Linked DNA regions of Callithrix jacchus. The protein of the gene in region 1 interacts with the protein of each later gene in a pairwise test. Links are inferred from orthologs where the notes say so. Each region holds a gene or a part of one and is shown in the gene's direction. Other genes may lie near its edges.

What was found.
Region 2: the proteins of ITSN1 (region 1) and KIF5A interact in a two-hybrid assay, tested with the Homo sapiens proteins (2 studies listed by BioGRID and IntAct). The link is inferred for Callithrix jacchus from reciprocal best matches to the Homo sapiens genes ITSN1 and KIF5A.
Region 3: the proteins of ITSN1 (region 1) and WBP11 interact in a two-hybrid assay, tested with the Homo sapiens proteins (2 studies listed by BioGRID and IntAct). The link is inferred for Callithrix jacchus from reciprocal best matches to the Homo sapiens genes ITSN1 and WBP11.
Region 4: the proteins of ITSN1 (region 1) and SNAP25 interact in a two-hybrid assay, tested with the Homo sapiens proteins (2 studies listed by BioGRID and IntAct). The link is inferred for Callithrix jacchus from reciprocal best matches to the Homo sapiens genes ITSN1 and SNAP25.

The regions. Positions count from the first base shown.
Region 1 is NC_133522.1:39,729,347-39,735,424, forward strand, and holds the start of ITSN1 (intersectin-1), read left to right. Parts: upstream 1-1,892; 5' UTR 1,893-2,103; intron 2,104-6,078. UniProt on the Homo sapiens protein: Adapter protein that provides a link between the endocytic membrane traffic and the actin assembly machinery. Acts as a guanine nucleotide exchange factor (GEF) for CDC42, and thereby stimulates actin nucleation mediated by WASL and the ARP2/3 complex.
Region 2 is NC_133510.1:62,145,573-62,151,675, reverse strand, and holds the start of KIF5A (kinesin heavy chain), read left to right. Parts: upstream 1-1,905; 5' UTR 1,906-2,112; coding exon 2,113-2,241; intron 2,242-6,103. UniProt on the Homo sapiens protein: Microtubule-dependent motor required for slow axonal transport of neurofilament proteins (NFH, NFM and NFL). Can induce formation of neurite-like membrane protrusions in non-neuronal cells in a ZFYVE27-dependent manner.
Region 3 is NC_133510.1:8,529,037-8,534,610, forward strand, and holds part of WBP11 (WW domain-binding protein 11), read left to right. Parts: exon of another isoform or gene 1-477; coding exon 478-509; intron 510-1,852; coding exon 1,853-1,946; intron 1,947-3,800; coding exon 3,801-3,997; intron 3,998-5,403; coding exon 5,404-5,537; intron 5,538-5,574. UniProt on the Homo sapiens protein: Activates pre-mRNA splicing. May inhibit PP1 phosphatase activity.
Region 4 is NC_133506.1:17,324,562-17,330,769, forward strand, and holds the start of SNAP25 (synaptosomal-associated protein 25), read left to right. Parts: upstream 1-2,257; 5' UTR 2,258-2,377; intron 2,378-6,208.

The DNA.
Region 1 (6,078 bases):
CTTTCAGAAATGTTGGCTATTTTAACTATTATTTCTGTAAGTTGGGCATATTTCAATTACAGAGAATCTCTAAAGTAGTTCTGAAGCCCATCTCACAGAGTTGCAAAGGGTTTCGTCAATGCAACCTTACTTTTCACACCTTTTAATTTCTGCAGTGGGCTACGGTAGCAGCCACTAGCACAGGTGGCTACTGAGCACTCCAACTGTGTCTAGTCGGAATTGAGATGTGCTGGAAGTGGAAAATACACATCAGATTTCGAAGATTTAATACGAAGAACGTAACATCTCAATTTAAAAATATTTGATGAAGCGATGAAACAGTAATGTCTCGGATATACTGGGCTAAATGAAGAATATAATTAAAATTAATTTCACGAAGTTTCTTTTCACTTTTTAAATGTAGCTACCCCAAAACTTAAAATGACATAAGGGGCTCGCAGTATATTTGTACTGGACAGAGTTTAGGTAAAACCTTGCTGCTCATAACGTGGACAGCCACACCTGGGAGCTTCTTAGAAACGCAGATGTTTCTGGCTTCTACCCAGACCTACTCCAAGGCAATGCTTACATCTCGCTCCAGATTATTCCGCTGTTTAGCGGAATGAAGAGGGCAGATCTGGCTCGAAAGCCACATACAGCGAATAATTACTAACTGCTTTCCGAATACAGCAAAGGGATGAGGAAGAAAGAAGTGGCTGAGAAGAAGTAACAGAGGAAGAAAAACACACTCAAATTCTAGAAACAAGCAACAGTGGAGAAAGACTCAACCTGGGAGATTGAGTGGAAGGGCACTCCCAGACCTCGGTCTCCATAAAAGTAGAGGGAGATGCAAACTGAGATAAGACCTACAATCAAAACCCGTCAAGGTCCAGGAAACTGTCCCTCAAATCTAGTCTTACCCGCCCCTCAGCGGCCTCAGCTAAGCTAGGCCTGGGCCCGAAAGAGTCTCCGGTTGGGGTTCGACGCGAACCACCATCCTCCCCAGGGCTGCACGGTTTCGTGGGGCATCTCTCCACCTTTCGCTTAAAGTCCCGTTTCTCAAGACACAGAACGCGTTTCCTGGGGCTCACCTGCCTCTGATCCGCCCCAACGGCCTGCACCTTCGCCACCGCCACCTTCAAGTCCTTCCGCAGAGAGCCCGCCCCCCGCTCGCATTGGTCAGGTGGCTCGTCACTCCTGAAGGGCGGGGTCGGACTTGCGAGGCTGTCGAGGACGCCATGGCAACCGGTCTCGAAACTACATCTCCCGGCAGGTTCCGCTCGGGGGCGGGGGAAGAGGCGAGGCACAGCCCTAAGGGCTACCAATAAATGGGCGAAGTGGGAATCGCCTGCATGGGTTCCGTTTTATGCAAATTCTAACTGAAGACCACACCCTTCCTCATTCCAACCACTGCCCCTGCCAACCGCTTTGGGTGGTGCTTCGCCTCTCTTTTCCTTTCCACATTATTCTCTCCTTTAAAACCTCCAATAATTAACTTAGTAAGTGCATCCTATCTAGCGTCTTGCACTGGAACGAGCAGATGCGCCGAAATCGTGGAGCAAAATCTCCATAAACCACGATAGGGCAACATCAGACAAGAAATCCCCGGTTTCGCCTACGTCGCGGGGAGAGGAGTGCTAATCTCGCCCCCCCCCTCAACGCCTGCTGATTGGCTCATTTGGCTTGTCACTGTTGTCTTACAGTTCTTTGGCTCTCCCTCCTTGGGTTTGCTCGGTGGGTGGGGCCAGCGGTAGGGGGCGGTGAGAAGGTGCGAGCCTCTTCTTCCGATTGGCAGGAGGTTTTTCCACCCACTTGTGGGCGGAGACGGGGGGGTGGATGGGGGCGGAGGAGGCAGCGGAGGGAGATGAGGAGATAGGCGGGAGCAAGGGAGCGAGGGAGGGAGAGAAGGAGGTAGAGAGGAGTGGAGGCGCCGGGGGAGGGAGAGCAGCTTGGTTGCTCCGTAGTACGGCGGCTCGCGAGGAAGAACCCCGAGCGGGCTCCGGGACGGACGGAGAGGCGGGCGGGGATGATTTGCGGGGCTGCGGCTCCTGCGTCCCTCCCCGCGGCGCGTGAGCGGCACTGATTTGTCCCTGGGGCGGTAGCGCGGACCCGCCCGGAGATGAGGTGAGGAGCGGGCTGCACGGCGGCGGCCTGGATCGCGGGCGGCGGCGGGGGCGGGGGTCGGCGCGGGGGTCGGCGCGATGGCCGCCCGGGGCGTCCGTCCCGCGCCCGGTGCTTGTCCCCCCGGCCGCCCTTCGCTCCTCGCCGCGCGCCCGGGAGACGGCAGCGGCCGCCCCTCCGCCTCGTCCTTCCCGTCCTCGGGGGCGGCGGCGGGGCGGCGGGGCGACGGGGCGACGGGCGGACCCGCACCGGGAGGCCGGGGGCCGCGGCGGGCCGTGGCGTGGCGGCCGCGGGACCGGCGTGGGGATGAATGGGCGCCGCGGCCCCGTCGCCGAGCGGGCTCTCTCCTCCCGCGGAGACCCCGGGCGGCCGCTTCTTCCCGGGCTGACCTCGCTGCCCTCGGCCACCGGCGCGGGGCGGCCCGGCCTCGCCTCCCGCTGGCCTCCCGGGGACCCGCGCTGGCGGGAGCGGCGCCGCCTCTGCCTGGAGCCCCCGCTCCTTCCTCGGCTCCTCACTCGAGAGCCTGCAGAATCCTGGGTCAGTGAAGGGCAGGCAATGCCGTTCGGCCCCAGGGCGCGCCGCGGGGCCGCCCCTAAAGGCATTTAACCGAGAGCGGCTCCCGCGCCCTGTGAGCGCGTCCCCGGGTCTGCCGCGTCCCTTCCCTTCTTACGCACCGACACGGTTTTGTGGTGTGGACCCAAGGCACAATTGCGGCCGCTTGCTTGCACGAGGGAATGCCATCAGAATTCCCAAGGAAAGGAAACCGGCGAGGAGTCGGCCGCACCTTCCTGCGCTTCTGCTTGCTTTGGGATTCGAAAACAACTTCGGAGATTACATTTCCTATGGGCAATCTTTTGTTTTGATTCAGACTCGAGAAGGCTTTGCTTTGGAAGAAATAGATTAGCTTCTTCTCTGTGGAGTTGGAGGCGATGGAGATTTTTATAGCCTCTTCAATATGAAAGTTTCCTCTAGAACTTTGCCATCATCGTGCTGTTCTGAGGGCAGCAGCAACCTGGAAATTTAAATATATGCAGGCTCCGGCCAGATGCGTTTCTTTGTGCCTGTCTATTGGCATTCTTCTCTTGCTGTTCCCTCTTGATCAAAACGTACAGATAATAAAAACAGAGCCAATGAGAGGGTGGATAATAACAGCAAATTCCATACAAACAAATGCCGCTAGAAATTCTCAGTTCTGTCAGCGGGGAGGCAGTTTTGCTAATCCCGTGGAACGGATGAAGAGAAAGGCACAGAGATCTCATGGATTATGTAGTGGACAGGATGTGAGGGCAGGAACTGGGGCCAGGACCCAGCAGGCCAGCTGGTTTGCATGGTGCCACTCTAAACCCCCAAAATATGAATAGATGGAATGTATTTTTTGGATATCTTTGTTTTTAGATGACTTTAAGGCTGAGAGTGCAGAAGCTTAAACACCCTTCATAGTTATTATTTCTTAGTTTATCTCTGAGAACAAAATATGTTTCTGTTTAAAATTTCTTTTACTGGTTTGCTGGAAACGTTATTTTGATGGGAGCTTCCTTGTTAGTAAAAACATTAAAAAATACATACATGTGAAAGAAAAATCCTTTCTGCAGGTGGATTTGTAAAGAATCCAGGGACTTTTAAGTCATATAAATTAAGGAATGAGGGACACTAATTTGATGATGGTGTTAAAATTACTTCAGACACCCTTAAGTAATCCATTAAAGATCATTTCTGATAGTATGATCTTTTTTAAAAAATGGTATTTCTTTATCTAAGAATGTATCTGTTGAAATTGCTGAGGCGCATGGTACCTTCAGAAATCTCCATTATTATTCTGCCTGAGTAAGAGAGGAGATGAACAAATTTTTAATGTACTTTGGAACCCTGTGGATTGCTCAGATACTAAGCATTGTGAAATAGGGCATAAAATAGGGTAGCAAGTTAGTTCTGTGAAATGTTTGTCTCTCTTGGCATTTTTTTTTCTTGGCAGTTGACTAGCAATTTTCTTTTTCTTAAAGCTTATCTTTAATATTGGTAGTAGAACCTCTGCTCAAGTTTATCTTTTCCCCAAATGCCTAGTTTGGGACAAACTATCAAGCTCCTGCAAGAGATGAAGGAGGAGCTGATGGTAAATGCCTTTACTTTTTTTTTTTAAGACAGGGTTTGGCTGTGTCACTCAGGCTGGAGTGTAGTGGCGCAATCATGGCACACTGCAGCCTCTAACTTTTGGGCTTCAGTGATCTTCCTGCCTCAGCTTCTGGTGTATCTGGGACCACAGGTGCATGCCACCATGCCCAGCTAGTTTTCAAATTTTTTTCTAGAGACAGGGTCTCTCTATGTTGCTCAGGCTGGTCTAAAAAGCCTGCCTTAAAGGATTCTCCCACCTAGACACTAGGCCTCCCAAAGAGCTGGGATTACAGGGATGAGCCACTGTGCCTCATCCAAATTCCCCTACTCTATTCTTTTTAATTTGCTAAAATTTGCGAATTGTAGAGAATTAATGACATGAGAGTTGGGGTTATATTACACACCTCAGATTATTCTGCCATAGAGCTATTGCCTTCTGAATGATCACTTCCTCCTGAATGGCTCCACTTACTGGTTGGGTTTCTCAAAGTGTGGACCACGGATCATTTACCTCAGTGTTAATGGAGGCACTTGTTAAAAATACAGGTTTTGGGCATGGTGGCTAAAGCCTGGAATCCCAACATTTTGAGAGACTGAAATAGGAGGCTAGCATGGGCCCAGGAATTTGAGACCACCTTGGACAACATAGAGAAACCTTGCCTCTGAAATAATTTAAAAAAAAAAAAAAAATGCGCTGGGCATAATGACTCGTGCCTATATTCCCAGCTCTTCTAGACTCTGGGGTGGGAGGATCTGGTTCACTTGAGCCCAGGAGATCGAGGCTGCAGTGAGCCATGATTGTCCTACTGCATTCTAGCCTGGACAACAGAGTGCCTGTGTCCAAAAAGTAAGTAAGTATATAAATAACATAAAAATAAATACAGGTTTCTGTCACCTCACCCGACAGCTGGAGGTGGAGCCCTGGAGTTGGTATTTTTACTGCCTTCTCCAGGAATTTCTCTTGCATAGGGAAGTTGGAAACCAGTGGCTTCCTTCTTGCTGAGCATCTCCTGAGACCTGCTTCTGAAGTGGATAGAAAGTTTTTCTTTTTCTTTCTTTTTTTTTTTTTTTTTTTTTTTTTTGAGACAGTCTTGCTCCGTTTCCAGGCTGGAGTGCAGTGGCGTGATCTCGGGTCACTGTAACCTCTGCCTCCCAGATTCGAGCAATTCTCCTGCCTCAGCCTTCCGAGTAGCTGGGACTACAGGTGCGCACCACCAGGCTCAGCTAATTTTTGTATTTTTAATAGAGATGGTGTTTCACCGTGTTGGCCAGGATGGTCTCTATCTCTTGACCTCGTAATCCGCCCACCTTGGCCTCCCAAAGTGCTGGGATTACAGGTGTGAGCCACTGCGCCTGGCCCGGATAGAAAGTTTTTCAAGTGGCAGGTTAAGTTTTATGCCTTAGGTTGCTAATAAAAAACAATTGACCATGACCTTCAGCTACATAATTGTACCTGTCATGTACCTTTCAGAAGGCAAAGGCTTTGGTTCACCACTGTACCACCAGGGCCTAAAACAGTGCCTGGCGGAACTCAATTAAATGTTTGTTGAGTGAATACATAAACTACATTGCAGTGAGGCCAATCTTTTTTTTTTTTTTTTTTTTTTTTTTTTAAGAGACAGAGTGTCACTCTGTTGCCCAGGCTGGAATGCAGTGGCATGCTCTCAGCTCACTGCAACCTCCGCCTCCAGGGTTCAAGCAATTCTCTGCTTCAGCTTCCCAGGTAGCTGGGATTACAGACACCCACCACCATTCCTGGCTAATTTTTTTGTATGTTTACTAGAGACGGGGTTTCACCATTTTGGCCAGGCTGGTCTTGAACCCCTGACCTCATGCTTTGAAATCCTGACTGAACTCCTGATCCACCTG
Region 2 (6,103 bases), on another chromosome or scaffold:
ATTAAGTTATTCTTGACTATAGTCAGCCTACTGTGTTATCGAATAGTTGGAATTATACTTTCTATTTTTTTTGTACCCATTCACCATCCTTACTTCCCATTCTCAGACTTAAATTTCATGATTCAATAAAATTAAAACAACTACCAATCTTGAGGACAGACATAGCATAGCATTGTTACTTTCTATCACCATCATTATTTGGTAGAAAAGCAGGAAGGACACACTCAGAATAAAAGACAGTCCTTTGAAACTTATCAAATCTAGCTTTATTAAAAAAAAAAAAAAAAAGAAAGAAACCAAAAAACTCACATATCGTTCTTTTGGAGGTGGGGTGTACTCAGTGAACTTTTGTCTCTCTGACCGGTGACCCTCCAAGGACTGGCATTTTAAAACTCCTTTACAGATGCCACCTTGGAGCCCCTGGGAACCCAAGGATGGGATGTTTCCCAAGATGTTTCCTGAGCTTGCAGGATGCTGCAACACTTAGAAATCGTGCCAAACCAAGTGACTATTGAGTTCTCCTCCCCAAGCCTCTATCCCTTTCTCCATAGTCCTACTGCTTTCCTATCCTGTTCCTGATGTTGGACTCTTTTCTTTCAGTTCCCTTAAGACTCAAGGTGGGTTAGAGGTGTAGCCCCAATGTGGGAAACCCCGCTCAGCTGAGTTCTGAGTAGTTAGGTCTTGTCTGGCCAGGCTATCAGAGTCTTACTTTTGTCCCACAGTGTCTAAGTGACCTTAACACTCACCAGACAATTGCTGAGCAGAACTTTCCTCTCCTCCTCCCTTCTCCAATCCACCCCATCCTTCCCCTTGGCCTAGAACCTCAACTTCTGCAGTCCAACTCTGTTGGTCAGCAGAGGCCTGTGACGTGGAGAAAAATCAATTTGGCCAGCTTCTTGGTGGTTCTTTCCAGGGGCTGCAGCAGGAGTCTGACCCAAAGGCAGGAAGGACAAGGAATCTCTGGGCTTGGCACATCTTTTTTGGGGGGTGTTGGGTGGGAGCAGGGGCTGAGGTATTGGGACTCTATCCTCCAATGGTTACTGAGAGAGGAAGAAACACACACACTGAACTTGCCTGAAACCCAAATGCAGGTGTTTGCCGTAGATTTCAAAGTCTCTCTGGCCTTACACATCTCCATCATTGCCCCTCCTTCACTGCTTTCTGACTCCCTTTCTCTTGCAAAAATGTTTCCTGCCCACCTTAATCCCATCCTCAACCAAGGACACAAAAATAAGAATTGTGTCTGGTTTTGAATTCCCATAACCCAGAATGGGAGTTTGTCTTCCCTGAAACTGGGGACCTGGTGTGAACCTTGGGGAGACAGTAGAGTGCACCTTTGGATGTGGAAGGGGAAGGGAGTAGCCAGAACCTCCCTGACACTCATCTGACACCCACCTCCATAGAACTACAGGCAGCGGTCCCCCAGAAGGCTGAGTGGGTTAGGAGTCCAGCTTCCATGCCTGTGGGGTGTGGGATGGGGTAAGGGGAGAATGAGAAGTGTGACCCCAGTTTGGAGAGAGGACTGTGACGGGTTGGGGGATGCCCTGGAATAAAGGGAATGGGAGATCTGCTGACACTTTTCCCTACACAGGCGACAGGCCCATCTCAGTCCCCTTATCCTTTCCAGGGTGTGGAGTCTGAGGGAGGGACAAACGGGTCGGGGGTGTGGGGTGGGATGCAGTGAGTGAGTTGGGTGGGGAAGGGTCTAGGGCAAGGTTATCTCCCAACGTTAGGGGTGAAGGAGGGTGGAGAGGGGCGGTGAGGTCCCACCCTTCGGGGGTCGACGTCGAGCCAGCGCCCCCAGCGGAGGGAGCCCCGCCCCCGCTCCTCCATCGCGGCCCCGCCCAGGCCCGCAGCGCGGCGCTGCAGCGCGAGGGGCGGAGAGGCAGAGCGCCCGAGAGGACCAGACGCCCAGGTCGCCCGCATCCCGCTGCCGCAGGAGAGAGACAGCGCGTCCCGGCCCTGCTCCCCAGGCTTCGCTCGGACGCCCTCAACTCTGCCCCCAGAGACCGAGCACCTGTCTCGCCTTGGCCTCAGCTGAGCGCCCCCTCCTCTGGAGCACACACCATCCCTGCAACCAAGAAGTGTCCCAGCCCCACGCCGGCGACGACCATGGCGGAGACCAACAACGAATGTAGCATCAAGGTGCTCTGCCGATTCCGGCCTCTGAACCAGGCTGAGATTCTGCGGGGAGACAAGTTCATCCCCATTTTCCAAGGGGACGACAGCGTCGTTATTGGGGTGAGTGTTGCCCAGGAGGGAATTCGGGGAGGAGGCAGGTGATCGAATCTTTCCCCCACGCAGAGCCGTCGTCTCTGCCTGTCCCTCTGCGCCCCCTCCTCGCCGCTCATCCTTCATCCTCTTCCCCGCAGCCCCTCCTCTCCCCTGCATCAGGATGGCTGGGTGTGGCCTGGCCAGGCCAGCGGCCGAGTCTCCGCAGAGTGCAGGGGGCTACTTCTCTACCATTGGGAGACCCAGCTCCCCTTTGCTGCTCCCTGCAGCATCTCCGTCCCTTAGAGCCAGTCCTGTGTTTTTCTGATGTTTTCCCCTTCTCCACCTCCCCTCCCCTAGAGAAAGCTAATCTTCCCTTTGTTATTGGCTCAGATCTCTACCCCCACCTCTCAGGAAGGTAGGGGTAAGACTATTGGGTGGGTTAGATGGGAGGTGAACAGTCCAGGGTCTCTGCAGAGGTGTGGATGGGAGTGGGCTCTAAGATCAAACCCTCCATCACTCCCTAAAGTAGTTATAGCCTGAATTTGTGTGTGTGTGTGTTGGGGGGAACAGGTCTGATGAAGGGTTTACTGGGAAAGAAATGCATTGATGCCACACCCAGTCTTGGGGGGAGCCTCTGGAATCCTAAGATCAGGTTTGCCTTTCAGTCTCAGGTACAGTAGGAAGAGGGTTTCAGATTCCCCAACTGACCCCTCAAAGAAAAATACCCACACCCCGAGATCCTAGTAAGTACTTGCTTATTCATCCTTTCTCTTGAGGATCCAATAAAAAGTAGCCATCCACCTCTACATCATCAGGACAGCCCTACCCAAGGATAATATCTTAAAGGAACTAATATTTACAGTGGGCATGTTATTCTATGTAACCCCCAAAACTATACTTGGAAGTAGTATCAATATTTCCATTTTACAGATGCAGAAATTGAGGCCCAAAGAACTTGGTTAACTTTCTCAAGGTCATGCCATAAATCCATGGATCTGAACCTCAATCTGTGACTGCAAACCTCCCATCTCTTCCTATCACATTGTGTCCCCAGGTTTCTGTTCTGCACTTTCATCTGTAATGGCCCAAAGGGAAATTCTAGGCCTTGTGCACGTCCCCTTTCCTAGGTTGGTAGGGACCTCAGGCTGTGTGTGGGGAGAAAGGATGTGGGGTGAATCCTGTAGGACTTGAGGGGTGCTGGGCCAGGAAGTGAAAGTCAGCATGAGAAGGGAGGGGCAGGTATGAGGGCAGTCAAGGTCAGAGGTGCTACTTGTGTATCTTTATCCACAGTGCTTGGCACAGAGCACCTGGATACAGGTTTGTTAAAGGAATGAAGGAAAGAAGGGGAGGAAGTCTGGGCCTTCTGAGTCAGTGAGAATGGGACTTTGAGTAAACATACCTCTGGGGAGACCTGCTTACCGGTCCCCCACGGCCCCAGTCTGTCACCACCCTGCACCTTTACCCGCACTGTTAACTCAGATGAGTGCTTTTGTCTGTGTCTCTGTGTGTGTGTGTCTGTATATGTGTTTGCCACATGGAGAGGGCCTCTGTTTCTCTTTGCTTCAGGGACCTCTCCAGCCCTGCAGTCTGTTCAGTCTGGATGGGCTAAAAACAAACAAAACAACAACAACAGAACAATTCCTGGTTCAACTCTGGAGGCCCCTCTCCGAGTGTCCTGGGCAGCCAGCATGAGTTGTGAGAGTGGGAGCTTAAGGTCCCCCTGAGAGAAACGGGCGGGCGATAATGGGGAGCAAAACTTCTAGGCCCAATTTCCTTGCTCTGAAAGATTTTTCCAGTAAGTCTGAACCAACTCCTTTAGGCTCTCTGAGCGCTGGAATGGGGCAGGGGGTGATGTTGGGAAGAGGGGTTGTGGTGTCTCAGTCATTGGCCCAGCTAAACAGGAGAGACACAGTGGGAGGTGGGCGAAGAGGAGGGATGAAAAGATGCCCAAGGCCCCCTGCCGATTCCATCTCAGGTTCACAGCTGGAACTTCCTTGTCTGTTTTGCCTAATATCTGTAGGGCTGTACCTTTGTCTTGCTCTGTGTCTTCCCTCACCCTAGCCCTCCTTGTCAATCTCTTACTTGAAGATAAATGCTTACAGGGGCCATTTGTCTCAGGCAACATCCTTGGAGTTTGCTTTTTCAGACTTACTATTCATTCGTCATTTAGGGAATGAGGGTTACAGGAGACATGATTTTTAGGAGACCCTGGAGGGTCCCAACAAGGGAAGGAAACTCCTGCTCCTTTTTCTCTTTTCTCCTCTAGTTCTCTTTGGGGCCCACCAGGTTGGGAGCCGGCTTAGGAATTAATGGAGGAAGCTGCTTCAGGATGTCTGGGAAGGTGCGGGAAGAGCCAAGGTGGGAGGGAGAACCTTTCCCAGTGCAGCCCCTGCTCCTTCCTGTGACTGCTCTCCCCTTCGCCTCTGCAGCACTGCGGCTAGTGCTGAGCTTCAGAGTCCCTTCCCTTCGTGGGCTTTGTTCTGCTTGCTAGAGGGTAGGAGAATAAGCGGGAGAGACAGCTCCATGTGCCTTTTTTCTCCCCCACTCCTCTGACTTCTTCCCAGAACCTGGGGGATGGGGCTTAGCCAAAGTTAATGGCCTGAGTCATAGTAGAAGGGTGTCTGGGTCACTGTCTCTGTGTGGTGCCCATCTTGTTTTGCTCTTTGCACACTCAGAATCGAGTGTTGTTTTTGCACCAGACCTATTTAGGTGTCTCTCTGTCCTCTGCCTTGGTCTTTCTCAGCAGTGTCCCAAAACCTGCCGTCTGGGCTGCTGCATCTGTACCAGATGTGGGAGGGATGACAGTGAAGAAACACACATGTGTGCGCGTGCACACACACACACACACTCTCTCTCTCTCTCTCTCTTTCTCCTTCATTCAAGTGTCCACACCTACCTCCCTCAGGTCTCCTGATGGTTAAGTGGGTTCTTAATGCGAGAAACTCAGACCATTGATCCCTCACTTGGCGAAGCTAGGTTGGGACCTGCAGGGTTATTGGAGAAGAATCTGTATTGTTTGGAGTGGCCTGGGATATCTGAAGTGGGGAGCAGGGCTCTCCTTTGCTTCGGGGGAGTCTCATAAACAAAAATGGAGAGGGGAAGTAATGTTCACTGTGGCCAGTGTCTCTCCAGCGTTACCATGGCAACAATCCCCAGGGGTGTCACTATGGAAATCAGACCTGGCACTTGAAGTTCAGCTGATGCCAAATGCTTTACTGAGGGTTGAACAGGTTGGTCATCTTTGGACCCCTGATCTTAAACCCCCACCCCCACTTAGCTCTAGTCAGCACACATGATAGAAAATTACAGAAAGGTGCTGGGATACACAAATGGAAGAGGAGACACCAGGGAGGCTTGGAGTGCCGTGAAAGGAGAGCAAAGAACCCTGGACTGTGGGACTCTGAAGAGAGGCCCTTCAGAGCAGGCTTTAAGGAGCACTTAGACTGCTGAGGGTGGGAGAGAGATTGGATCTCGCGGGCATTCCTAGGAGGAGGAGGGATTCTGTGACTATTTCTAATTAACAACTCACAGAGTCTTCGATTACCTGGAGGTGGAGAGGGTGGATGGGAGTATTGCATACTTCTGAAAATTGGATTGAGGTTGGAAAAGGGGAATGATGAAAGGCTTTAGTTCTGTCTGGAAATACTTGGGAAAATGCCCAATTGTGAGGAGGGGGGATATGGAGGAGGGGAAGGAAAAGCCTTGATAAGGCTCTAACACAGTATTGGCTGCTCAGTTCTTGGATCCCTTTGCAGGGTGGATCTGGAATCGGATTGCTTGAGTTTGAAACTGTGCTCTGGCGTTTCTCGGCCGTGTGACTGAGGGCAAGCTACCTGACCTCTTTGAGCCTGTTTCCTCATCTATAAAATGGGAATAATAATAGTATCTA
Region 3 (5,574 bases), on another chromosome or scaffold:
CAAATATTAGGGGGTTTCTTTCCCTGTGGCTTAATTGCAAGACCAGCAGTGATAAGAGGAGTAAATTGTATATTTAGTGTTTGTATGGGCACATGATTAAGACTTTAAACATGCAAATAAATAAATTAGTAACAATATTTTTCAAATTTGATTGACTTGCACAGTAGAATTGGCTGAAAGCTTTCTCTTTGTATTTGAAATTTTGAGCAAATTAGTTTTGCAAGCCCTTGTTTAGCATTTTATGTTATCCTTTTCCTTCAGACTCATAGTTGTTTTTTATGAAACATTTAAAATGTCTTCACATTTTTGTCGTAATTTGAGGGATGCTATTGGCATGTAGTGAATAGAGGCCAAAGATGCTGCTATTTTACAGTGCATACTATAACTCCCCACAGTTAAGACTTGCCTGTATTAAATTGGAGGAAATGCTAACGTTCAAGATTCAAAAGTTTTATTATATCTCCCTCTCTTTTAAAGGAAAGGAAGCCCGGAAGAGAGAATTAAAGAAGGTATGATTTCAGAAGCGTCTTGTAAAACTTTAAGTATTGTTTGGCACATCTTGTGATTTGGGATTAGTGGGTTTCAGAATAACGTTTCTAATTTTATGAGAAAAGATGCTTTATGCTTTTTATAAAAACTGTGAAATAAACTAAGCCAAAATTTACTAAGGAACTGAAGTAACTTTGCAGAGAAGCTCACACAGGTTATAATGATATTTGACTACTTTTCCCAATGAGTTATATACTTTTGAAAATCATTCTTTTTTGTTATTTATTAAAACATAACTTTTAAAGCCTACTGATGAGAATGGAAATAAATATGATGCTAGACAGCTTTATATATCCATTTTCCTGATTAGCTGTATATTATGTATATTACATTAGCTTAACTATATATATTGGTTTCTAATATTTATAGCTATATTAGCTTTATGTATCCATTTTCCTAATTAGCATTTTCCTCTTAGCTGTTGGATTTGTGACTAAGTACTTCAACGGAATAAGAAAGAATTTGCTTTATAGTATTGTGCCTTAATACATAGAAGCGACACAGATTTTAAATAATGTTCAATTGTGTCTTCATGTTTAGCATTAAATTCTGCAAAATTTTTAAATCTTTTTTTTTTTTTTTTGAGACGAATTCTTGCTCTGTCACCCAGGCTGGAGTGCAGTGGTGGAATCTCGGCTCATTGCAACATCTGCCTCCTGGGTTCAAGCAGTTATCTTGCCTTAGCGTCCCAGGTAGCTGGGACTACAGGCACCTGCCACCACGCCTGGCTAATTTTTGTATTTTTAGTGAGACAGAGTTTCACCATACTGGCAGGCTGGTCTCGAACTCATGACCTTTTGGTCTGCCCACCTCAACCTCCCAGAGTGCTGAGATTGCAGGTGTGAGCCACTGCACCCAGCCGAAATATTCTTTATATAATTTCAGCACTTAAACCTTTGAGCTTTTTTTTTTTTTTTTTTTTTTGATAAAGAAAATTTTGGAATTCAGCTAGCAGAGGTTTTAGAACAGGGGGCAGGAACAATCACCCGAAGTCTTTAAGAAAATAAGAGGTAGAAAAAAAAGAAATTTAAAGTATGTATGTGTGTTTAAGTAACTGCTAAAGATCTCACAGAGTTAAAAGAAATGCTTTCCTAAGAAAGCACATCTTAAAAATAGCATTCATCTTTTTGAAAGGTCTAAACGTTTTTAAAGCAAAAAAAATTACATAGCTGTTTCTGGTGGTTGAAACAAGTGATCAGAAGCCAAGGAGTTCAAAATTCTGTTTAGATTCTTAAAGCAAGTTGAAATAAAACTCATGAGTGTCTGACTTGTTGACGTTCTGCCCCTCTTTTATTTTTATAAGAACAAAAAACAGCGCATGATGGTTCGAGCTGCCGTTTTAAAGATGAAGGATCCAAAACAGATTATCCGAGACATGGAGAAATTGGATGAAATGGGTAAGAATTTACAAACAGGCAGCTGTAACAGTCTGGTACATACAGAGGCAGACAGGTAATGAGTGAAGCAGCATAGGCGTAAGTAAAACAGAACAGCGCAATAGCATTTGATGCTTGGATTTAATGTTAGTTTCGGGAGGCAAAATGGAGTGCTAGAGGGCTGTTGCAAACTGGAGACCCCAGATACCAGAATGAGAGGGGAGCAGTCATTTGGCTTTCAGCTAATTGTTACTATGAGAGAACAGAAGCTCAGTTTGGCCAGCTTGCTTTTCAGGAAAAGAATCTGGTTTATGAAATAACTTTGGGTTTTTTGTTTGTCATCTTTTATTTAATGCTGGCAACTACCATGTAAATCTAAGTATCAGGCCACTGTGAATATAAGGCATTTCCAGTTTATCCAAATTTTTAGCAAAAATTTCCAATTTTTAGCAAAGATGTAGAAAAAAATCATCGAATACCTAAAACCAAATATATAAAATACTATACCAGGATTCTTTGCCTTTTTCACATTCCATAGCATCATTTTATTCACTCTCCATGTGCATCTTAAGTATCGCTGCTTTGATATAACTGGAATCACGTGAAATGGCTGGATGTTATGTTTTTTTGTATCCAAGTTTGAGAATCATTGATGCCGCTGCGGGAAACTTTACCCTAACCCACAGATACCCTTTCTGTTTGATATTAGAGCATGCAGAATATTTTATTTGTTTCTTTTAATAGAAATTTTCAAACATGCAGAAAATAAAATAGTCTAGTTAACTTCCATGTGCTTTTCACCTGGCAAATTTTTGCCACTTTGTCTTCTACCCTTTGTCATCTTTTTAAAATAGTATTTTAAAGTGATCTTTACAAGTTCTATGATTTGTCCAAAAACAGAGTAGTAAGTAAAAGAGATGCAGTGAAACTCCTCAATGATACATTAAATGGAGTACAAAAAATCCAGTCATGGCATTATGCTATTAAAGGTTTCTGAAATAATGTCGGAGAATCTGGGCAGCTAGCCTGGGTAAGAGTTCTGGGTTGGGCTCCAGAATTCCAGATCTTTCCCAGTTCAGCTATAACTGATCCTACTTCTTTATTCTGGTCTAAATATCAGCAAGGACAGTTACTTTCCTTGGGGAATCAGGAAATCCTTCATTAAATGACCCCAGATGTTATGTGTTGTTTTCAAAGGAGAAAATAGTAATAACTGAGATTTTTCGAGTAGTTATCTTGCTACACACCAGTTTTTTCCCACTTGTTTTCTAATCCTCACAATTTTTTAGGGTAGGTGTACTATCCCTATTTTACAGGTTAGGAAACTCAGGCACAGCGAGATTACATAGCTTTCTCAAGGTCGCACTGCTGTGTAGTGGCAAAGCTGAGATTAAAACTCAGACATTCAATGCTTTTCCTAATCACACTAGGAATAGTATGGTGTAAGACTACACCTTCTGGATTTGAATAAATTACCAAGATTAATAGTTAATAGGATTTAAAGAAGAAGATAAACTTGTTATTCTTTTTAAAAAAAAGGAAAGGGGTGAAGACAACACTATTCATCAGGGTTCCAGTTACAATTTATAAAACTCAGTACAGACTAGTTAAGGCAGAAAAAAGCATGCATTGGCTCTCTTAATTAAGAAGTCTTAATTTGGTGGCATTTCTGAGAAAAGTAAAATTAGTGGCCATCTAAAAGGGGTGGGGATTTTAATAAAATTGTAGTTCTTTGAATAAAGTTGAAAAGAGTATGTTTCGTATCTAGAGCTCTTTAAAACTTTTCACCATATATGGAGCTTTTTATTACGTAACCTATTGATAACTAATTGAAGTGGCCCCTCCTTTAATCCCATAATCTGCTTTTTCTCTCAGAGTTTAACCCAGTGCAACAGCCACAATTAAATGAGAAAGTACTGAAAGATAAGCGTAAAAAGCTGCGTGAAACCTTTGAACGTATTCTGCGACTCTATGAAAAAGAGAATCCAGATATTTACAAAGAATTGAGAAAGCTAGAAGTAGAGTATGAGCAGAAGAGGGCTCAACTTAGCCAATATTTTGATGCTGTCAAGGTAATCAAGGTGTTTTTTTTTTTTTGAGAGATAAACTAAAATATTATACAGATTGAGTATCCCTTATGCAAAATGCTTGAGACCAGAAGTGTTTTGGATTTAGGGGTTTTTCTTAGGGAGGGAGGGGGATTATTTGCATATATTTTGGGGACTGGACCTGAGTCTAAACATGAAATTTATATTTCATATACACATAGTCTGAAGATAATTTTGTGTATGAAACAAAACTGCGGCCCATCATATTACATCAGGTGTGGATTTTTCCACCATGCATCATATGGGAGTCAAAATGTTTAGGATTTTGGAGCATTTTAAATTTTCCATTAGGGATGCTCAGTTGTACTTAGATTTAAAAAGTTAATGGGAGAATGGATCATGCTGAACCTCTTCCTCATAGCAATTTCTTCTAAAACTAAACATGTCTACCCTATGAACCAGCAAATCTAATCCTCTGTATTTAAACAGGAGAAATTAATTCAAAACTAGGATCAGCCTAGTATTCACTAATAAGATAATGGATAATTAAAATGTAGTATATTTATACAATGGAATACTGTTCAGCAGTAAAAGGGATAATCTAATACTCAAAGCAACATGAAATATAACAAAAATTACCAATAAATCTCAACAAGCTAAGTTAATTTCATCGTTACAATTTCATTTCTAGAATACAACTAATCTGTGTACAATGTATGTACAACAATATATGTACAACTAATCTGTATTTCTAGGTACAACTAATCTATGCAGGAAAAAAAAATGTAGCAGTGGTTGCCTTGGGGGATATTAGAGGTGGATTGGGAAGGAGTATGAGGTATATGCATTTGTCAAAACTTGACTGAATTTGTACGTTTTGTAAATTTTACCTCAAAGAAGGGAAAAAATCAAATGCTGTTATTTCTGTAAAGGAGGTAATATGCCCCTCATTTTACAGATAAGGGCACAAGTTAACTTGCTTAGGTAGGCTAAGCTAATACACAACAGAAATTCAACATAGGCAAGCTCATGGGCCCAACCTGCGCCACTGGATATATACATTTGTTAGTTGACATGTATTATTTTTCTATCACCCTGCATATTAAATAGGGTAACTTTGGTGTTAGGTACTTTTAACAGTTGGATTTCTCTAAACAACAGCTATTTCGAATCATATACAAAAAGACTTACCTGATAGTAAGAGGAGAAAAAACAGCTGTGTTTTGGTGTTTTCAGTAATAAAGATTTCTTTCAATTCTTTGACAGTCTTTGGAAGTATTGACATGAGGCTATTTTTGTGGGAGTTTTTAGTGATATTTATGTTAGTTGGAAAGCATGTCTGAGTCATGAAACAGCTGACTTGTCATTTATAGCGTTTAGTTTATGGATGATTTTTTTATCGTAATACTGAAAGGTTCTCTCTGTTTCAGAATGCTCAGCATGTGGAAGTGGAGAGTATTCCTTTGCCAGATATGCCACATGCTCCTTCCAACATTTTGATCCAGGACATTCCACTTCCTGGTGCCCAGCCACCCTCCATCCTAAAGAAAACCTCAGCCTATGGGTAAGGAAGCAGTTCACAATCAGAGCTCATTTGGTAA
Region 4 (6,208 bases), on another chromosome or scaffold:
TGCCTGCAGGAGAAGCCTCCATCACTGACATACTTGCTTTTTAACTTTTTTTTTTTTTTTTAAACCTGGAAAATCCCCCACCTCCTCCATTCCTTCACAAAACTTTCTGCCTGAATGATTTCTAGTCTGAGGGCCATACAGATATTTTGTTTCTCTCTCTGCAGGTTGTTTTTTTCTCTTCAAACTTCCGCATGCTGCCTTTTTTTAAAGTGTCACATTTTGGGGAAAAAAAATCTGACTATAAAGGATTTTGCAGTACATTGCTTTCATTGCCACTTTCCCCCTATTCCAGCTTGGTTTATAATGAAAGTAAGAGCCATAATCAGGAGACTTTTGACAATTAGTATCTAAGGACTTTGCAGATTTTCTTCTTTATTGTATGGAAATCTTAAGTGTTTAATGAATATTTAAGTAAAAAACTTTCAGCAACATGCCTTTTTTTTTTTTAGGAATATGGCTTTAATAAACATCCAAACACTGTTAATTATTATGGCAAACATTAATATGTCAAAAAAAAAAACTTTTCAGGCCAGAGAATCTTTAAGAAACAATGATGTCTACTGATTTCAATTAAAGGTATCCTTTATTAAATTCTTAAAAGCCCCACTCTTTCTAAACGCAGAGCCTTCACAACTCTTCTTCTTTTCCCCCCTCCCTGCTTCCCTCCCTCCGCAATAGAGTGCAATCAAAGGCCGTATTATTGCTTGAGCTTGGCTCTCAGGCCAGTGGGATGTGTGTGTGTGTGTGTGTGTGTGTGTGTGTGTGTTTGTGTGTGTGTGTGTGTTTGGTGGGGCAGGTGTGTGCAGGGGGAGAGGTTGCACGCCGTTTATCCAAACCCAGCTCTGAATGGTTTCTCCTAAGCGAGACAAGGATTTTCCATCTCCTAAAAGAGGCCATCAAGTTTTAACATTGCGAGGCACGACTTCTAATCACATCCTTCCCGGAAAAGTACAAACAGTTCCTCAGGCGAGGTCCCCCACCTCCCACGCGCTCCCCAGCCCTCCCTACCCGTGGAGAGCCCGGCGACAGCCTCCCCAACATCTGTGAATCATCCGGGAGGCGGCCACCGCCGAGCTATCCGCGCACCACCCCCTCCCCAGACCTGTGCACGGCCAGGAAGGACAGTTAGGATTGTTGCTTTATCATTATCATTTTTAATCTCTAATATGACCAGCACAAGTAGCCTTTGTCTCCCCGCCCTGATCTGAGCACCCAAGGGCCCCCGAGGAGGCCTGCACAGGTACTCAGTGAACCACCAGATTCGGCGGCGTCCCAGCTGTCCTTGTTTCTAAGCCCCCACCTCCCCCGGCGGTTAGGACGGTTTCCTCGGGGCATCCCTGACTCCGTAGGGTACCCCTAAGACACCCAGCACGCAACCCGAGTGCCGACTGCAAATTCCACCGAAAGCAGCGTCCTCCGTTTTTGCCCTAGGCAAACAACTCAACTTGTATCCCCCAGCCTTTGCAAACCTACGCTGGCTGGGCTAACTCCGCTTTCCTTCTCCTTCCCCCGACTCCTGCCACAGCTCAGAGAGCCTGGCTCTGACGTACTTCAAAATAACGTGCGCCAGCCTCGCTCCCCGGCTGACCACAGCAAAGGGAGCTGCAAGCCCTCGACGCTGCTTCGGTAACATGAAGAAGTCACTCATAAAAATAGCAACCCACGTAGCCTGGCCATATATGGAGCCGGCGAGGGTGGACGGGGATGCCCCTCCGGACCCTCTTTGGAGGAAACAAATCGCCGCTGAAAATTTCCCCCCACTCCTCCCATCACTACCTTTTACCCCTCCTCTACCTTCCCTTCTCCTTACATGACTCAACCACAGATTCCACTGAACGGGGTGGGATGTGGGGAAATATATATATACACATACGCGCACACACACACACAAATATATACATATAATACATGTATTATAAAGTATATACACACATGCATTTATACACATACGCATATGTACACATACAGGCACCAGAGAACATCAGCAATACAGTCGCGGGTTGAACGCATTTGCCCAAGACTGAGTGTTAAAATGGAGTCACAAGAATCGCCCCGTTCGGGTGTTTATAGAAGGCGAAAACACGGCTGTTTGCAGGGCAGCGCACGGGGAGCCGAGTCAAGCGCGCCGCAGCTCGGGCCCCGCCCCCGCCCCCGCCGGTGCCCCGCCCCCACTTCCTCCCGCCCCTCGCCGGGCGGCTATTAAAAGCTGCTGACGTCAAGACGGACGGCCATCTTTGATGAGGGCAGAGCTCACGTTGCATTGAAGACGAAACCTCGGGGAGGTCAGGCGCAGTCTTTCCTTCCCTCCCTGCTCCGCGGCTCCTCCACACTTGCAACCTGCAGAGGCCCGGAGAACACATCCACCCGAGAAGCCCAGGTAAGAAGCCCCCTCCCCAGGTCGTGGCTCTGGCTCGGGATGGCTGCATACCCAGAAGGGACAGCAGCTGGGCAGTCCGAATGGGCTTGGGTAAATACAAGTATTGGTGCACTTAGGGTGCGGTATTCCGTGTGTGCACGTCTGGTGGGGGCTTTATAAAGTGTTTTTGAGGTGAGCTGTCGGGGGAAGGGGAAACGGGAGCCCTGCAAATGGAGCGACAGGGAGGAAGAGCGAGGATACGTACCGAATAACTTACTCTTTTGAAACAGTAGTGGGACCCCCTCTTTCTTCCATTTTGCCATGCAGTTTTCAGAGATGTTTAGGGCTGTTGGGTTCCCCCCCCACGTCGTTCTAACCCTATTATTAGGACTGTTGTCTTTAGGGTGCTATTATCCAGGGAAGAATTAAGGGGGAGACAGGGTGTGGGTGCTGGGGAGGCTAAAGGAGAAGGGGGAGTTCCCGCCCCGGGCAAGCTGAGCTACTGCAGCGACAGCAGCCTCCATGCCCCGCGGACTTGATTTATGCCGCCTGCTCCACGTCAACTGCAGGCTGGCGGGGGGCGGGCGGGTCGTGCCGGGTGGGAGGGCTCTGCGGAGGGCTGGCGCGGGTGGGCTGGCCTCGGGGACTGCGGCGGCCCGCGCTCAGCACCCTGGATAGCAATACCAAGGGCTCGCGCGGGCGCCCTCGACCTTTCAGCACCGGGGACAGCGGTCCGGCCGCAACGCCGCATCTGCCTGCGGCAGAAACGCCTGGCCAGGGCTGGATGTGCCAGGGCTGGAGACCAAATTGTCTCTCTGAGACCCCGGTCTTACGGAGACTCTTAATAGAGCAGTCATAGTAGGTTAAAAGAAAACAAGAAAGAAATAAATCTTGCTCACAGAGACTCCTTTGCCGACAATTTTCTGCTTCCCTCCTCACCTTCATAGCTTCAACAAAATAATAATCTACTTGTGGAAATCTGTGTTGCCTTCTGCCTCTTATTTTAGGTAGAAAATAGATACATTTTTAAAAATATGCATTTATCCTTTAGCACGGTATCAAGGGTTTTGTTTTTTAACACAGAGTAGGTCTGTCTACAGATCTTGGGTGGGCATAAGTAGTGTATATATGAAGAAGCCAATGCTATCTGTTTATAGGGAGGATACGTCTCTCTACCTGTTTCCATTTGATAACAATTTGAGATTAGCTGAACTAAGCAGAATCAACTTTAAAAATGAATCCCTGTTTATTTTCCTTCTCCCCCCATCTTGCAATCAGGCATGAACACAAGTATTCATCCACAAAAACACATCTGATAAATATTACAGGTCCCATACTGTATAACCTCTTTGGCCATGGTTTCAGAGTTACTGGAAGTATTTCCTATCAGCATTGGTTATTGCAGGCTGATAGCTTCAGATTTTGAAAACATTAAGCCTGGTCTTCCTCAGGAGAATCCAACTATGTTCTTCAGGGTAATGCAGGTAAAGAACCATGGTGTTAGACTGGAACTGAACTCTGACCTAAAAGACCTACTGCAATTTCTCTTATGGCACTGCAGGATTTTGCTGAGGTGGTGATAACTACTTTAACCATTTTCCATTCTGAGGCTTGGAGCATCTGAGAAAGCAAAAGTCATCAGGGATACTTCTCTCTGTTTAATATAGATAAAACTAGCATAAAATGACCAGTATCAAAATTACGCCATTCGAGTAGTTAGCAAAAAGAGGGTAACAGCGTCATATGTAAGAATCTATACAACACATTAAAGAAATGCTATAATGATCCCCTTAAAGGACCCCAAATTAGACCCTGGATTGTGTTTAGATAGTCATACCTCCAATCTTCCGTAAACTACAGATACTAAAGTTCCCTGTTCATATACAGAAGGCGATTTCATTCCTAGCTATTCAATTATTTCCTAGTGTTTTTTTCTTTTTGTGGATGACCATGTGTTTCCATGTATGTATATGTTGATCTGTTATTGTGCATGGATGTAAAATTATTCGAGTGGACATTTATATAAGAGTATGTAAATGTATAAAAGAAGTTTAAAACTCTGCATCTGCAGACAAAATAAATAAACAACTGTGTTTTAGCGGTGAGAGAAGAGAAGAAAATATGGGCAGGAATCTTTAAAAATGCTTTAACTTCATGCTGCATGTCCAGACAGCTCTCTGCGTAGTTGCGTCAAATGAAAAGCCTAATGCTGCCAGAATTACGTGCTTGGACATTAGCAATTACTGCTGGGTTTGTTTGCTAGTGGAAAACTGGGAAGGAGGGGGGGAAGTAGAGGACTGCAGTAAAGATGGCAAAGGGCACAGAGCTGAGGGGAAAAAGCAATTTGCACAATTAGAAAGCTAATTTTAGAATAGCTTACTGAGAAATTTAAAAAATATATAATTGAACTATGTATCTAACATTTATATCATTGACAAGCTTCAGGGGGAAAAAATAGAGAAATTTCCTATTTTAAGTTTGAATTTTTAAAATCCAGGGCAATGCGGTGAGAAGAGGCAGGCGTAGATGGACGTAGGATGAGCCAAGAGTCATTCACACAGACCCTCCGGTGCCTGTTTTTGTTCATCGACATTTACTGCATTACCACCTCAACGTTCAAATTACAAAACAACTTACAATCCTCTTAACCTCTTCATGGCAAAATCTCCCCAAAATTTACAATTTTATTTTACTTTGTTAAACACGCACGACCACACATGCACAAACACAATACAAACTACCCCTTAATTAGCTTGTCTAAAGACATTCCTAAGCTCTAAATGTTAACCCTTGAGTGAGTGTTATCAGCTGAAAGACATATCTCTGCCTGTGACACCTAGAAGCTGCGTAGCAGTCAGCCTTCAGCCTAACAGCGTAGGTTTTGACAATGAGTAAAAATGAGAAAAAGAATTTGAGTAAGAGGTTGAGAGAGGAGACATGAAGAAGAAAAACAGATAATCTGCTTTTTAGATAATGCACTGTGAATAAACAATGTTTCTCACATTATGGGACTGCTTTACAATTCTATAAAGGAAGGAAAAATCCATGTTTTAAGCCTCAGCACTAGAAACATTTCTGCAATGTCATCCCTTGTCAGCAAGGACCAACCGGATAGAAAGATATTGATCAACTTGTATGCACCAGATAAATAAATGAATCCCATGGGAGATATAAAATCTCATGGTTTTGCCTTGACCTTAATAAGTTTAGTATCTAGCAATCTTAATAAAAGCAATAAACAATAAGTTAATAAATAAAACCAGAATGAAAATGCAATAAAACATGAGAAGAAAAATTATTATGATATATGTGATTAATTTCCAAGTGAATGTGACCAAAAATAGGGAACATAAATTCAAGAGGGCAATATCACAGTAGAGTGGGACCACCTGAGAGAAGAGGCAGGCCTTGAGGTGGCTTTTGGAGCTTGCAGAGAGGTGGGAGAATTCTGCTAAGTTGAAGTCACAGCATATGCAAAACATCACATTAGGCAAGCCCACTCTACAGTTAGCAAACCCTGAAAATGCCCGTCAATTTGGGTGGAGTAAGAAGCTTGGAGGAAATAGGCTAGGATGGAAAGTTGGAGCCTTCTGTGGAAGGCTTTGAATGTCAAGCTAAGAATTTGATGCTATATCCTCTACAGTTTATTTCTGAGCAGAAGCTGAAAAAACAATATGACCAGGTCCTTCTTAATATCCAGAAATTGCTATTAACAGAGTGGATTTAATTTGCATTCTTCCAGAAGAAGAAAGGAGCAAATTGGTATCATAAGAGACAGTTAATGAAAAAAAAAATCAGTTCTCACTGAAACGTCTTTTAGGATCACTTTGCAGGATGTATATATATATATAT